3 linked regions of the Cricetulus griseus genome follow. The protein of the gene in region 1 interacts with the protein of each later gene in a biochemical or structural test. Links are inferred from orthologs where the notes say so. Each region holds a gene or a part of one and is shown on either strand. Other genes may lie near its edges. The genes, in order: Gipc1, Rgs19 and Lrp2.

Region 1 (5,493 bases):
CATAGGCCTTCCTGTTTATGTCCCCAGTGCTGGGGTGACAGCTGCAAGCCACCATGCCTAGCATTTTCACATGGGTTCTGACAGTCAAACTCAGCTGGCACAGCAAGCACTTTACCAAGTGCGCCATCTCCATGGTCTACATGGCCCTGCATTGTTTTCTTTTGCTCTGCTTTTTCAAGGAGGGTCTGTCTCCCTGCACAATACAGAATAAGCCTCACACTCAAGATCCTCCTGCCTCTACCTCCCATGTCCTGGGATAACAGGCCTCTTTACACCTGGCTGATTCAGCCTTACTTGGATGGTCTTTTTCTTATTGATTTGTGAGAACTCTTTATATATTCTGGGCACTTGTCTTTTACTGGTTCTTTCATCTGTCTGTCCATAGCTCTGTATCCCAGTATACTACAGACACTCACTGGCTATTTCACAGAAGTAAACTGAAATGAATTACATGGAATTGTATGCCACCACACTCAATAGAGAACAGGAGCAATAGCACCTCCTTGGTACACACTCTTTTGATCACCATTCCTTGTTCTATATTTGTTTTAAGTTTACTCTGTAGTCCCTGGCTGTCCTGGAACTTACTCTGTAGTCCAGGCTGGCCTCAAACTCAGAGATCTGCCTGAATGCTGGGATCAAAGGCGTGTGCCACCACTGCCCAGTTTAGGCCAAATATCTTAACTCGTCTGATCAAAAAGGAAACCATGTATATGCCTGGATTGCTCCTGGAACACTATTGGGGGTGTGTGAGTGCATGTGTGTGCCTGGGACAGTCCCCGCAATACTATTGGGGTGTGTGCTGATACACTGTCTTTCCTCACTGTCCTGCACCGCATACCCTGTTCCCCAGCCTCCTTTCTGTCTCTGTACATATTCACTGCTGTGGTTTAGTCCAGCTTTTGTGTGCCCTCTGGTGAGAGACCCAAGGCACTGAGGAAAATGAGTGACTAATAAACCAATGATGCAGACCCTGAGACACATGGCCTGGATGATGGCCTGGATTCAAGTTCCACCCTTGCTACTCACCAGTGGCACAGACAAAGCCAAGTTGCTTAGCTTCATGAGGCCGCAGTTTTATCTCCTGAGAATCTGGCAGAGTTTATGTCTGTTGGGTACTTACGGAATCTCATCAGAAAGTGTTGGACGTGTTATTATTTGCAGTGATGGAGACAGAAACTAGAATCTTTCATTGCTTGGAAGGCACTCTGCTGCCGACCCACACCTCCCCCACAGGTTCGGGGCAGGGGCTGTACTGCTGACCTGCACCTCCAAACTTCTTCAGTCTTTATTCTGGTCACATCCTTCCTTCCCTGGCCTAGAAGCATCCCAGTTCCTATGCTGGCAAGGCCTATTCCAGACTTCTCCAGGCAGCTGGCTTGCCCAGCCCGCACACAGGAGCTGCACCACAGTACTAGGGTCTATGAACTTGCTGTGTGCTACCCTGACAGAGCTTGTCTCTCAATGTCCCGGCTGCTATTTATCTTGCATCTTCATTTTTAAAATTTATTTTATTTTAATTTTATGTGTATGAGAGCTTTGCTTCATGTCTGCCTGTGCATCACTTGGGTGCCTGAAGAGGTCAAAAGGAACTAGTTAGAGATGGTTGTGACCCACCATGTGGGGGCTGGGAATGGAACTCCCAGCATGCAGTCTGTGAGCTGTCTTTCCAGCCTGTGTCTCTATTTTAAAATGCAAACCATCTCCTATCTCACAAAGGAATCTCACCGTATAGGGGAAAACTCGACAATAAAAAAATGTGTTTTCTGTACCAGGTACTCAATCACATCTATAGCTTCATTCCCTGTTCCAGCTATTCTATACTTCACTCTGCCTTGGGGTGTGTGTGTGTGTGATCTCCCCCTGCCCAGTGATCTCTGAGAGGTCACTCAGCACTTAGAAGGATCTGCAGTGGCTGCCCATGTTAACTTGTTGCCTGTTCCCCACTAGAATGCAGGGAATTCTGTCCTGCATTTGGAGGACACTTCCCTCCAAGCAAAACATGGTGCCTGGCACAGTGGCTGCTTAGCACTTGCAGGTGAACTGTAGAGTGAATGTCCTATAACCCTGCTTGTGAACCAAACCCCACCAACATGACTGCTAGAGAGCTACGAGCTCCTCCCCGCTGTCTGCAAGGAGCTGAAGGGAAGTGGGTTGGATGGATTTCCGGAGTTCAGCGCTCTCATCCCAAGAAGGGCCAGAAACTTAGCAACCCTGCAGTCACAGAAACGCTAAGTGGGAGGTGCAGGAAGCAGGGAGGGGGACTCCTGGGGCTCAGATAACTCCCAGTTTAGGGGACACCACACCTGTCGTCCCTCGCTCCTAACCCCCAGCACAGTACTACTTTGGGGAGGAGGGGAGGAGGCCTCTGATTCATTCTTGAAAAACCGGATCCTAAAGGTTTCATCTCTCCAGTGTTTCCGGGGCGAGTGGACGCACCTCTTGCCCCGCTCCCCCGCCCCGGCCTCTACACTCACTCTCGCTCATTTCTCTTCGCAGTAAGTAGACAGGGTGGGTGGAGGGGGAATGGGATTAAAGGGCCCACGTCAGGCCTTGCCTGGCCAGCTCAAGAGAAGGGACACGAGGGCAACTTGGAAGCTGTTTAGTGACCCGTGGGCTCGGGGAAGCAAAACCCAGCAGGTGCGGCTCCGAAGGGAATATGGGGGCGGCCGTGTGCAGTGAGTCCGGTGGCTGGCTGGTCAGGGACGACTTCTGGGACTAGTTTCTGGACTCAAGGCATGGGTCCCTCATCCCCACCGGCCACTTACTAGCTGTGTGACCTTGAGTGAGTCACTCCACCTCTCTGGCCCTGATCCCTCACTTCTAAAAGAAGTTAACAGCCCCTCCCAGGAGGCTGTTTTGATTCAATGTTGTGCACTGTAAGCGTCTGACGAGGAAGCGCTGGGTCCGGGCTAGCGAGGCGGGGGTGGGGGGTGGTCCGCACTATTACTGCGGTTGTTATTGTCTTCCGGACTCGGCGGCCTCGGTGCCCCCGCGGCCAGCTTTTGGGCAGGGGCCCGGGAGGGGTCGGGACCCATCACCAACAGGGAGCGTCCCGGGAGCAGAGGGCAGGGGCGGACCGGAGGCCCCGGCCGGAGGGGAAGGGTCCGTGTTTGGGGTCCCGACGCGGCCAGCCCCACCCCGCCGCCACGGCTCCACGCCCGGGAGGCCGCCCCTGGCCGGGGAACACTCACCTGCGCCGCAGCCACCCCGCGCGCCCAGTTCGATCCTCTGGAAACTCGGCCCGGCTTCTCCCTCGGCCTCCCGTACCTGGGCGGGGCCGGCGTCCCGAGCGGACCAATCAGCGGCGGCCTCCCATACTGGCGGCCAATGGGTGCCTCCCGTCGGAACGCTCTGAGGGATCCCTCCGCCGCACCTCGGTCTCCCCCCTGTACGCGCAGTGGTCCGACCTTACTCGTTCTAAATGGCGGCGGGCTGAACCATTGAGGGGCTGCGCGGGTGAGAGGACGGGGAGCTGGGCGGGAGCTGGCAGTAAGAGTCAGATGACCGGGTTTGGAGGACTGCGCTCGGCATCCAGGAAAGCGGGCTCGTTGGGAGGTCAGAGAGGCGGCCGAGAGCACACCCTCGCTCAGCTTCCCTCCCAGAAAGATGCTTTGACTCCAGGGGGTGGGCCATAGTGAATAGGGAGGGTCCCGGGTGTCTCTGCTTTTTCCACTCTACACAATAGACAAAGCAACCGTGCATTCATTCAGTCTTTCAATCTTTAAGTGCCCCTGCCTGGTACCAGGCTCGGTCCTGGCTCTACAGACACATGAATGGAGATACAGGGTGTGCAAAGGCTCCGAAGCTGCACAGAGAGCCACAGAGCACTTTGCTAGTAAAGCTGTGTAAGAATACACGATGGAGAATGTTTAAACAGTCGGCTTGTCAGTTCAGTACTGTGCAGAATCATAGATGGTGACCAACCAGTGCAGGTTTCCTCCTCCTCCTCCTCCTCCTCCTCCTCCTCCTCCTCTCCTCCTCCTCCTCTCCTCCCCTCCTCCCCTCCTCCTCCTCCCCTCCTCCTCCTCCTCCGCCGCCTCCTCCTCCTCCACTTCCTCCTCCTCCTTCTCCCCTTCCTCCTCCCTCATAGAAATGTATGATGGGGAAAAGGGTAGATTATTGAATCTCCTTAACCCCCAAACAACTGCTAATCCCAAAATACTTACATTGTTATATATTTTACTTTCTTGATATAAACTTAAGGTTAATTTTGTTATGCTATATTTATATTTCTACTCTTGTTTATGATACTATGTTTATGCAGTTTATAATAGTCAAACTTAATGTTATGTTAGGTTTAGCTAGATATACAGAGATATATTTTTAGATGGGTTGGTAATCTTCAAACACTTCAAAGACCTACAGAATATGACATTTAAAATGTTTTGATAATTTAAAATTCTTTTGACATGAGACACATCTGCTCCTGGCAGCTGATCTACTCCTGAGAGGATGATGGGCACTGAAGTCACTCCATATGGAGTTTGTTTCCCTTTTAGCAAAACTGGCCTATTGGGTAAAGAGCTGCCCTTGCCTGGACTGCTGACAGTAAGTATGCTGTCCAATCCAGACAAACAGGACACAAGAAAAAGTGACTGCTGAACCTTGCCAAGAAAGGTTAGGAGAGTCCTTCAGATTTTCTTGCTTCTGACAATGGAAAATGATATGTCAGATATTCTAGGCCTATAAGCCAAAATTGGATGCCCCAACATCACCAAAAAAAAAAAAAAACCAAAAAACCAAAAAACAAAACCTGAGGTGACTGTCCAGAAAGCCAGCTGTTTCTGTCATTTCCTGTATCTTTAAGAAGTCGCTTGCTTGCCCTTATTCAGGTAATATTATTCCTTCTCAGGTCTTTGATGGAGTTGAAGATAGATAATTATAGTTATAGTTTTTCTTAGTTATAATAATAGATAAATGGCTGGGAGGTAGTGGCACACGCCTTCAGTCCCAGTACTTATGAGGCAGAGGCAAATGGATCTCTGTGAGTTTGAGGCCAGCCTGATCTACAAAGTGAGTTCCAGGACAGGAGCTACTCAGAGAAACCCTGTCCTTTGCTTTTCAGCAATCAAAAAATTCAAAATAAACATAATAGCTAACCACAACATGAATGTTACCTTGGCTTGAAGTTTTTCCTGCTAAGCACATTAGATAATTTCATTTTAATTATGTCTGGGAAAGCACAAAGCAAGGCAAGGCCATATCCAGATTCAGGGTACACCCAGGACAGCTCTCAGCATATCCTTTCACCAGACTGGATTCTATAGCTATGTTCTGACATCCAAGAACAATACAAGGAACAAAATACTTGAGGTAATAAGTCCTCTGCCTTTTCTTCTGGAGCCCAAGGCAATGTCCACCATATGTCATTCTTTGACCATGTTCCCACAGTTGGTTATCCCCACAGCTTCTGTGCCACTGTTGCACCAGCATATCATTCAGGCAGATCACCACTGTAGATCAAAGGGTTTGTAGATGGTTGGTAGTTAC
Region 2 (5,630 bases), on another chromosome or scaffold:
TAAATGCCTTTCTGCCCAGGGCCAGTTGTTCCTTTATCCAAGTCTCTGGTCTGGACAGATCTCAATTGTATAAACCGGTATATGGTGAGTGCATGGGCACCATATGCATGCCGTTTGCTTGGCTCTTGCATATAGTATGCCCCAGCACACCAGGTTTAAGAGCCACACAAAGGGGTCTGAGAGATTGCTCAGTGTTTAAGAGCATTTGGTTCTCAGGACCTATATGTTGGCTCTCAACCATTTGTAACTCCAGTTCCAACACCTTCTGGCCTCTCCAGGTATGCATGTGGCACACATATTCAGGCAAAACATTCATACACACAAAGTTTAAGAGCCATATAAAGCCCCTTAGAGGATGTGGGCACTACTACCAGCCAACAGGGCTCTCAGCAATCTCTGGACAGGGTGATGCTGTGGCAGAGGCACCTGTCTACAAGTAGTTTCTTCTTAGCCTGTGGAGGGTCTAGGGAACAGGACTGGGTCTGAGTCCTAAAATCCACCCCATCCCACCCCTATATGCCTCAGTGCTTCTGTATCTCTTCTATGAGCTGCTCCCCAGGCCCATATACCATGTACCCCCAGGCCTATATACTCTGGTTTTGCCCTCTTTGAGCCATGTACCCCTGCCCAAATGCCCTGGGGTCTTCTTCCCAGTATAAGCTGCACCCTTAAGGTCCACATACCAGGAGCAGCTGCAGCAGCAGCACCAGCATAAGCAGCAGGGGTTGCGACTGGGGGGTCCTGAGGGGGCTGCATCATGGCTGGACATCGAGGGGGGCCTGTCCGCCTCCTCTGGTCCTGTGTGCTGAGGAAGAGGGGGCTGCCTCAACCTCCATTCCAGAATTCACTGGACCCTATGTCTGCCCATCTGCCCAACTGGCTGTGCCCCCAAGGGCCTCAGGTGTCCAGGAACCCAATTAGAGGGAGGAAGTGCCTACCTGTTTCTCCGCCTCATGTGGGGTGGGCATGTGTGGGTGGAGAGGGTTGCACAGATTCTGTGGTGCCAGCTCTGGACCTTCACTGCAGTCTGGGAGCTTGGATCTGAGAAGAGTGTTGGGAGTTCTGACTGAGGGCCTGTGACCTGGGCCCACCTTGTAACCTCTGCAACCACCTCAGGTCCCTCAGAGGGAGCTTGCTCAGAGCTCTACCCCAAGTCTGTGTGCTAACCCCATATGGAAGTGCCCCAGGCAATGATGGGGCTACTGCAGTTGGGCCTCCCACAAAGGGCTCTAAGATACCCCCATCTACTCAGTCCCCAAGAAGCCGGAAGCCTGGGTTCCTCTTTCTTGGCTTCCGGCTCCTGGCCCCTCCTAAGGGGACTGGAGCTACAGGCTGGTATGGAGATGGTAGGATACTCTGATGGCTCCCTCCCTCTAGGTAGGTGGGTAGACATGCTACCCAGATGACTGCAGAGGGCTAGGTCTGAGGCACCAGAGTACTTGAGTAGAATTCAGAACAAGACTTCCTGAAAGTGAGGAATGGAGGTGGGGGGTTACTCGAGAGATGTGTACTTAGGTAACAAGGCTCTTAGGTCCTTGGCTGCGTCAGACACCCCCACTTCACCCTGGTTTCCCTTTTTCTCCTGAGGATGCAGAAGCAGGGAGTGCTAGCCATGGAAGCTGGGGTGGCAATGTGGGAGGATCAGCTGCTTAGCTGGAGCCTTGGGCTCTTCAATGGGTTTTCATATGATTTATCATTCTTGATGTTTGGACCACACCTTCACAGGGGGTTCTAGGAACCTCTCAGGCCTCTGAAAGCTGACTTCAAATTCCAGTGTCCCCAGGAAAAACAGAAGCAAAGCATCCAATTAGCACCCTGGCAGCAGTTTTGAATGCCTCCTCTCTCCCCAGCCTGTGCCCATTTCTGACCAGGTGGAGGCTAGGCTATCCAGGCCTTAAGATCTCTGCTCTGCCCACCTTCCTCACATTAACCTGGGGCTCACGTTACTTTGTCGATGAAATCCACCCTCCTGTAGCCCTGAATCCAGCAGAGGGAGGCCCTTTATCCTCTTCTGCCTGAGGTCTGTACACTGAGGGCAGCCCCACCACCTGGCTCGATTTCTGAGATGGTGGGTTCCCAAGTCTCCCAGCGTGCAAACCAGGACACAAAAGTAGCTTGGGCTGTACTTCCCTGGGGTGGAGCTTCTAGGGAAAGGAAGGGGTGTAGTAGCCTAAGGTCTCTAGGCTCTCCAGAGTCATCACCCTGCAGACCATCCCTCAGATGCTCCATCTCCAACCAGCTGACTGGACAGGGAACAGCCTGGGGTGTGTGGGGCCTGGATGCTGGGGTCCAGTTTGTGCAGACGCAGGTGTCTGCCATTTTCCCCAGCTGCAGGCTCTTGTCCTGGCTCCTTGCACCCATCAAAGGTCGGTTGGGACCACCCATGTCGTCCAGAGTGCTCTTGACTACCGCCTCCCTTCTTTCTAGGGAAGGGGAGCCCAGCATCTGAATTAGGGTTTTCCTGCCCCATCTCCGGATACTGGATGGCTCATTCCCTCCCCAAGCCTCCCAGGCGTTGGCCTCCCAAGTCTATGCTGAGACCAAATGCAGCAAATCTGGTCTCTGGGGACAGAAGCTCCCTGGGGAATGGCTGCCGTGTTGCTCCACAGAAGAAAATGTTCAAGCCCGACCAGTCCAAAAAAAAAAAAAAAAAAAAAAAAAAAAAAAAAAAAAAGAAAGAAAAGAAAAGAACCTTTGGGGGGGGGTAACAGGGGTTCCATTCCCACTTCCATCCCACACTGTCATTGTCCTACCTGTACCTCCATGGCGGGCCAGACCTCTCTCACCATGGCGAACCCCGCTGCCCAAGCCCACCTGTGGGATGGTAGGCCCCCACCCAGTTACTGCTTTCTGCTGGTGGGGTCGTCTGGAGGGCTGGTCTCTTCTTCGCGGTCCCTCTCGCAGTCTCTGACGCCCCCACCCCTTTCTTAAGGAATTCGCCATGAGGCCCCACTCACCAGCGACCTAAAGGCGGATGGGGGCGGGAGGGCCAGGTTCGGTCTGGGCCCCACCCTGGCTGCCGAAGGGGCGTGCTCTAAAGCAGCAGGGACTTAAGTCAGACAGCAAGATGTACTCCTGGGTATTCGCGAGATAGGAAGGCGCACAGAATCCCTCTCGGGTGGGGCTGTGGAGGGGGCGCAACATTCACCCCTAAGGCTCGCCGGGCCGAGTGGCTAGTGGACCCAACTCGAAGGGTGGGTAAGGTGGTGGATCGGTGTCTGGCCTGGCCCCTCCCCACTAGGCTAGCGGGCGGGAGACACGGAAACCTGGGTTCTTCCGGCCCCCACCTTTAGCAATTACTTCTCAAAGCTCTGAGCTGAAGAAAAAGGGGAACCTTGCTGCGGCTCTCCCTCCCCCACGCGCAGGGGGTGGGCTCCGGTCCCACCGCGACCCAGGTCCACGTGGGCTGGTCGCTGAAGTCCGGGAACAGAGCCGGCATCTACATCTCCGGGGCCCGCCCGCGGTCCAGCGCCGCACTCACCGCAGAGTCCCCGAGTCACAGCGCCCGCGCGATCCGAAGTCCTGCTTGTCGCCGGGGAGGGGGCGCAGGCGCAGTGCGCAGGCGCCTCCACGGTACTTCCCCAAAGAGAGGGGCCGGGACTTCCTCGAGCCCCAGCGCCTGCTCGCCCGCAGTGCCCCGCCCCGCGCCCGCTCCCGCGCCCCACCCGCGCTGGCGTGTCGTCCTGCGGTAGCGTGGCATGGTGACCCTGAGGGGTGAGTCGTACACAGACAGTGGATTGAGCCGGCGCTCCGTCTGGTTAGCTAGGTTTTCCCAGCCTTTCCTTTCTGTGGTAGTGCAGTGTGGGGCACCAGAGCTGAGCCCAGTGTGCTTCTTGGCAGGATGAGAAGAGGCCTTTGGGAAGGACTGGCCTGTTGTACTGCCCTGTCCGCCCCACCCCTTCGCATTTCTGAGTCTGGTCTGTCACTCTGCTGTCCACAGAGAAAGGGAGATTCAGGAACTGCAGCTTGGTGGGCACTGTGAATGCAGGTTCTTATATCAAATTACCCCGAAAGTTTCTGGGGCCTAGTTGAGTCCCTCCCTATTGACCCCTCAAATTGCTCCAAGATAGCCTTTTCTGCAAATGGCCTTACTCTTTGGCCAGCTCTTCAGATCCTTTATTATTGGGTGCAGATTTGAATTAGCTCATTATCCCAGCATGCTCTGGGCAAGTGTCCAGGGGCCCTGACCCTACTTTAGACTTGGTTTGTAGGGTGTGTGTGGTTGCTTGGGCCATGCGGTTCCTGCCCTTCTTAGCACTGGAACACAGCCTAACCAGTTCAGGTGCTAGGGTCTTGCAAAAAAAAAAAAAAAAAAAAAAACTTTTTAATCGCACAGGTTGTATATGCTGACCACAGAAGTTAGAGGTGCAAAGCAAATACCCACTCTTGAGGCAGCGGGTCCCAGGCAGACAGACTGACCTGGAGCTAACTGCAGTGGACTAGAATGGGAGACAGGCCCAAAAGGGATGGGGTGAGAGGTGAGGAGGGCAGGATGTTGCCATGATGTTCAGGGAGTCTGGATGAAGAGAGAACATTGGTTGAGAGCCTGAGGCTACCAGGCTTTCTCTAATGCTGTGTGGGGCTTGATGAAAAAAGCCAGAACCCTTTAGCTGCCACCTGATGGATTCCAAAGCAAGGTAGAGGCTAAGAAGCCCATCTAAACAGTAGTAGTTGCTTTAGATAATAGTCCTGAGAAGTGGACACAGTTTAGAATAAGGAGGCCCAGTAGAAATGGGTCAATACCAGGTGGAGACAACAAAACAAAGCTGATTCTGCAGTATTTGGTGTGGGCAACTGGCTGTGGGTAGAAGTCAGTATGCGTTCTTCCCCTCAGTTCATTTTACATGCCTACCCACTTGTTCTCTGCTACCTTACATCTGTTCTATACTCAATTAGCATCTTTAAGCACAGAGAATGCCCCTAAATCTAGGCAGGAGACCAGGAGCACTGAGCAAGTGACACTAGTGAGGATGGAACTTTAACACAATTTACCCTTTTCTAGAGCAGGACCCCTACTCCCAGCCCCACCCCCCACCCCGGCACCAGCCACTCATAAGCCCCACTTAACTGTGCATGGGCCACAGGCTTTGTATCCTCGTTGGATTTTCTTCAGACAGAGGGATCCTGTGCCACCTTCCTTAGCCTACTCTGTAAACCCAATCCCTCACTGATGTGGAGATCAAGTGGCACTCTTAAGCTGGTCTGACACTTGGTGTAGAGCTCTTTTGCCATTGTTATGCTGGCCTTCTCAGGATGTTGGTGTGTGTGTCCTCAGCCCTCTGCTCTGAGGTACTTATCTGAATTACTCACTATGTGGGACACTGCGGTAATCTTAGACATCTCTGTGATCACCATGAAGAAATGCAGGGTTGGAAAAGTGACTTTACTAAATAGATGAAGTTTTTCTAGGCTCTTGGCAAATCCTTGGCAAGCTCCTCTACAAGGAGCTTGACCAGAGGAGCCCAGCATTGGCTATCATCTGGTGTAATTGACTGTCATTAGAAGACTACAATCTGGGTGTGTGTGACCATCATTCCTGGATGAAGAGACTGTCTCCTTTTCCCTGTCTACACCCATGTCCAAACCTACCATTTCCCTGCTCTGCCATCCTCCCCATTGCCTGAAACCCC
Region 3 (4,877 bases), on another chromosome or scaffold:
TTTTAAATCAGATATGTGACCCTGGCAGCTATAAATACCACTCCCACTTCCCCCAAATAAGAGCAGTAACTATGAAGTCACCTAATGTACCAACCCTGGCAGGCAAGTATATCCCCCACTGGCAGGCAATGTAATTCTCTATACTCTTCATTCCCACTGTTGACCATAATTTTAGATAAAAGATATTCTAATCACATACTAGCAACCAAGTGCTTAGTAAACATGACCAGTCACACAAACACAGTGAACAGGGTCCTCTTTGAATATTGTGGCCAGGTATGGTGTCATACACCATTAATACCAGCAGAGACAGGCAAATCTCTGTGGGTCTGAAGCCAGCCAGGGCTACATGGTAAGACTGTATCTCAAAAGATAAATGGATAAATAAATAAAAAATAAATGAGCAATCTGAGGACTGCCTAAAAGAGAAAAGACTTTTTTTAAAAAATAGGCTTAATGCTTAATTCTATTTTTGTAAAATTCCATGTAATTCTTTCTTAAACCTAAATGACCCTGGCTATATGCATTACAGGGAAGATAATATACTCCCTTTTTTTGCATTTTACATCCACTATTTTGTTTCTTCTTAAACTTGTATGTGTTTGTATACACTCCTCCTTTTATTTCATGTGAAAATACCAGATGAAATTTCATCTCTGCTCCATGATGCACTATCAAGGAGCAGGTAAGAGTTTTTCAAGATCCAAACATTTTTGCTCTTAAAAAAGCTATTTTTGAGCCAGGCAGTGGTGGCACACACCTTTAGTCCCAGAACTGGGGAGGTAAGGTAAGGCAGATCTATGAGTTCAAGGACAGCCTGGTTCCAGGACAGCCATGGAGAAACCCAGTCTTGAAAAACCAAAATCAAAACAAAACACAAAAGCTATTTTTGAAAGAAACATTTCTATCATATAATATTAAAGTATACCAATACTGAATTTGAAAGAAATCTAGTCACTGACAAATACTGAAGGCTATTTGCTGTAGCTACTTAGAAAAAGGAGGCACAGGTCAAGTCTAAAGGTGGCATGGGCTGTTAGTCCAGACTAATGAAAAGCATGTTGTCTGTCTCTTCTCCCAGTTTCTCTTAATACAGAGCAATAGTAAGCCTTTGCCAAGCAAATCTTAATTTCTGACTTCTGTGCAGTACAGGTCATCTTCCTGCTCAGATTGTGTCCTTGGGACACCTATCTCCTTCTTACTCATTTCTGACATAGTTCCCTGTGTCTGTCATAGAACCCTGTGTCTCCTGCATCTCTAATAGACTCATACCCCTTGCTAAGACTGATTCAGAATGACTGAGCACAGAGAACACCCCCAGCAAAGTCTCTGCTAAGACACAGTGCTCTAACTTTTTGCAGGGCTGTAAACTAGGGCAGCTTCATGACTGTGGACAGGGAATCTGAGATGAAGGTCACTGTGTTTCATCCCTTTAGGAGGGCAGGTTAGAGGCAAACATTCTGAACACGGGAAGATTCAATGGCAACAAAGGCAGAAAGACATCTCACCTGAGCTGCCAGGGCTGCTTTGGAAGTGCTGTCCTTAGCTGCATATGTTGGATTCTCAAATACCACAGGCTGCTTCCCCACCTCCATGATGAAGTTTTCGTTCTGGTGGGGAGGAGACAGAGAGGTCACACCCACTGATACCAGACAGAAAGGTGTCTCCCTCATACCTGGATGCCTACCACACTTTCACAAAGTCACCCAAATAGGAGGTCTTAGAGAGGCTGGGGGAAAGATAGCAGCAGCAGAGACCCATTGTAGCAACCCACTGTTTCAGCTAATAAATAATGAGCCACGCCATTTGCCCTGGAAAACACAAATACTCTTTCCACAGCTGAATTCTCTATGGTTCTCTAACGTATGTAACCCACTGTGGTCAGAACAGTGGAGAAAAGGATGCGTGGTAGAAAAGGACAGGAAGGTAGGCAACCGGGGAATATTGTTCTTTCAGGCAGGTGTGGGGATGGAAGATTGGAGGTGGAGACAAAGCATTAGGAGTGGGTTTTCAGATTACAGAAAGGCCCTGCTGGGCCACAGCTGTGCTAGGCTCATCCCTGAGTGTGCCACCTGCTGCTCATAAGCGGCAGGCACGTCCCTATTCTACACAAGAGGCCAGAAGGACCAGAAAAGGTCAGCCCTTGACTATCTATAAATAAATACTTAGATGGTAGAGTCATAGTTTCCACCAACTCTATATGGCCTACAGAGGACAGACTGTGTTTCTTTATTTTAATATCCCCCAGGGTTAGTTTTGTTCCTTATAAGAAGGGTTTCTTCCATAAGTTACTGTAAAGGAAAACTTCAAATAGTCACATGGAAGACCCACTCACCATTGCCATTGATCTATCAATAACTGTCTCCGGGCCAAAAGGAGAAACACCAATGTCCATGCTAACATCAGCCCCTGATCTGAAAGTCACCCCATTTCCATTTTCAGAGGGTTTCGCAAGGCTGCTTAAACTGGAATGAACCAAAACAATGTTGTGTTAGTCGGGTGGTGGTGGCACATGCCTTTAATCCCAGTGCTTAGGAGGCAGGGGCAGGTGGATCTCTATGAGACCAGCCTGGTCTACAAGAGCTACTTCCAGGACAGCCTCCAAAGCCACAGAGAAAGCCTGTCTCAAAAAAAACAAACGAACAAAAGATATGTTGTGTACACATGTCAAAAACACAGCAGCGCTGGGCTGCTGTTTTTAATCCCAGCACTCGGGAGGCAGAGACAGGCAGATCTCTGTGAATTCGAGGCCAGCCTTTCTACAGAGAAAGAGCCAGGACAGGCTCCAAAGCTACACAGAGAAACCCTGTCTCGAAAAACCAAAAAACACTGCAGCAAGCCCAACCCTCACCACCACCCCCACCCCCGTCTACCTGAACACACAAAAGCACAATCCCAGATACAACATCAGAACAAGAAACAGAGGTCACTTGTAGAAAGCCAAGCCAACACACAGAAACTGACCTTGGCAGCTTGGGCAGAGTGGGTAAAAGGGTGCCAGTTTTTCTGTAGTGAAAAAATCCAAGGAGTATCAGAGCCCCAATGATGATGATGATCAGGAATGTCAACAGCACAGCCATTGCTGCACAGGGGACAGAAACAGAGAGTCAACATCACCACATGACCAGGAGGGCTAGAGCGGCTAGAGCCCATGAGCCTGGGGCAAAAGGAAGATGGAGGGCCGTGACTATTGCAGGTCACCCATATTCTGGACACTTACTTGTCCCTGGAGGGATGCCTCTTGAGAGCCCAACCTCACAGTATTCTCCGTTGTAGCCACTAGAACACCTAGAAGCAAGAGGAGACTACTTAGTCACCTTCTAGAGGCTCCTAGTGCTGTGGCCAGTGAAATGCATGAGGAACAGGCGATGCAGCCGGCATCACAGCTGCTTCTCCTGCCAGCCTAAAAGCACTGCTCTGTCCGATTCCAGAAATTCACTTATGGTGGAGTGGCATCTATGAGGGTCAGCCTCACAAATAAGGCTTCTTTGCACTTCTTCCTTAGAGAGAATTGATAGGCACGGTGGCAGCATTCCATCCTCCAACAGCTTTCGGGAAAGCGACCATTCCTCTTGTTCTGTGGTGAAGGTTTCCCACAGGCTAGTCTGCTTGTCATAAGCCTTGTATTGAAGCATCTATCTCTCCTGTCAGTTGCCCTTCCGTGCTCCTTCCTAAGCCATCATCCCAGGTGAGGTGGGAGGTGGCATAGGGAGACACACTGCTATCCTTTCTTTCACTCCTTGCCCTTCCTTGTGACTCTGCCATTCCATTCAAATGCACATAGGCATTTGAGCCAGATCCTCAGCCAAGGCTTATGCCAGGTACGGTTTGGGAAACATGGCCTCACCTTCTGCAGACTCCCCCAAAGGAGGACAAGCTGGTTAGACATGGAAACGGAAACGGTGAATTGGGCAAGCTTCCTGCACTTGTTTCCCCAGCTATAAAGAGCTCGGGTTCCCTAGAAGAGCCAAGGCCTACAACTGGGACCTCAAGAGTCAGACTTACTTGCATTTGGGGAGGTCATTCTCATCAAAATAGCAATTTCCTCCGTGCATGCATCTGCATGGGGGAGGCATGATGACGGGAAGTTCGATGGCTGCAGAAAGGAAGAGCCATGCATGGGTTAGTCAGCCACAGGCAAGCAGAGCACTACACCATGCAAAACCTGCCCAGGACTGAGGCGGGAGGGGTAAAGGGGATGTCGGGCCTCCCTGCTGAGTTATCACCTGTTCCCAAAGGCAAATGAACTTCCTAAACAATGGTGAGATCCTGGGGAGTGATAGATAGAAACTTCAGAGTACTTTCTTCCTCTAAGCAGTGAGGTTAAACCCAGAGTATATATTGTGTCACCCGAAATCCCCCAGATTCTCTTCTGGGAACCATTAGAACCAAGAGTTTCATTTAGACACAGCTTGAAACTGCAACCCAGGACTCCAGATCATCAGCAGAGGACCAGGCAAGTGGCAGACACACAGACACAGATAGATGGGAAAGCAGCTGAGGGAAATCTAGCCACTGGATTACTGCACCTGATTCACCCCCGGCATACCACCTGGATGATTTCTTTACCACATGTGTGCTTTATTTGATGAGTTTGTCTACTGTCTCTACTCAGAGTTCCTTTCATCAGAGAGGCTAGGCAAGCCAATCATGCCCGCCCTGTGCCTACTGCATGTACTTTAGCCACCTGTCCTATTACATACTTACAGGGTTCCTGGCTTATTATCCTACTAGCAAGTAAGCTCAATGAGAGAAGGGATTTGCCTGTTTTACTCACTTCTCTCATCTCTGGAACTTTCAGTCACACCTGGTACAGAGTCGACACCCAATAAATGCCATTGAACTAACTGATATGTTCATTAACAATAGGTCACATC

The links.
Region 2: the proteins of Gipc1 (region 1) and Rgs19 form a complex in vitro, tested with the Homo sapiens proteins (2 studies listed by BioGRID). The link is inferred for Cricetulus griseus from reciprocal best matches to the Homo sapiens genes GIPC1 and RGS19.
Region 3: the proteins of Gipc1 (region 1) and Lrp2 form a complex in vitro, tested with the Homo sapiens proteins (2 studies listed by BioGRID). The link is inferred for Cricetulus griseus from reciprocal best matches to the Homo sapiens genes GIPC1 and LRP2.

What each region holds. Positions count from the first base shown.
Region 1 is NC_048596.1:160,761,027-160,766,519, forward strand, and holds the start of Gipc1 (PDZ domain-containing protein GIPC1), read right to left. Parts: upstream 3,321-5,493; 5' UTR 3,195-3,320; intron 1-3,194. UniProt on the Homo sapiens protein: May be involved in G protein-linked signaling.
Region 2 is NC_048599.1:214,270-219,899, reverse strand, and holds the start of Rgs19 (regulator of G-protein signaling 19), read right to left. Parts: upstream 3,638-5,630; 5' UTR 3,482-3,637; intron 3,454-3,481; exon of another isoform or gene 3,288-3,453; intron 3,125-3,287; exon of another isoform or gene 2,958-3,124; intron 2,815-2,957; exon of another isoform or gene 2,754-2,814; intron 2,424-2,753; exon of another isoform or gene 1,718-2,423; intron 1,042-1,717; 5' UTR 969-1,041; coding exon 939-968; intron 806-938; coding exon 684-805; intron 1-683. UniProt on the Homo sapiens protein: Inhibits signal transduction by increasing the GTPase activity of G protein alpha subunits thereby driving them into their inactive GDP-bound form. Binds to G-alpha subfamily 1 members, with the order G(i)a3 > G(i)a1 > G(o)a >> G(z)a/G(i)a2.
Region 3 is NC_048599.1:105,763,918-105,768,794, reverse strand, and holds part of Lrp2 (low-density lipoprotein receptor-related protein 2), read right to left. Parts: intron 4,097-4,877; coding exon 4,006-4,096; intron 3,289-4,005; coding exon 3,221-3,288; intron 3,083-3,220; coding exon 2,965-3,082; intron 2,466-2,964; coding exon 2,336-2,465; intron 1,611-2,335; coding exon 1,509-1,610; intron 1-1,508. UniProt on the Homo sapiens protein: Multiligand endocytic receptor. Acts together with CUBN to mediate endocytosis of high-density lipoproteins. Mediates receptor-mediated uptake of polybasic drugs such as aprotinin, aminoglycosides and polymyxin B.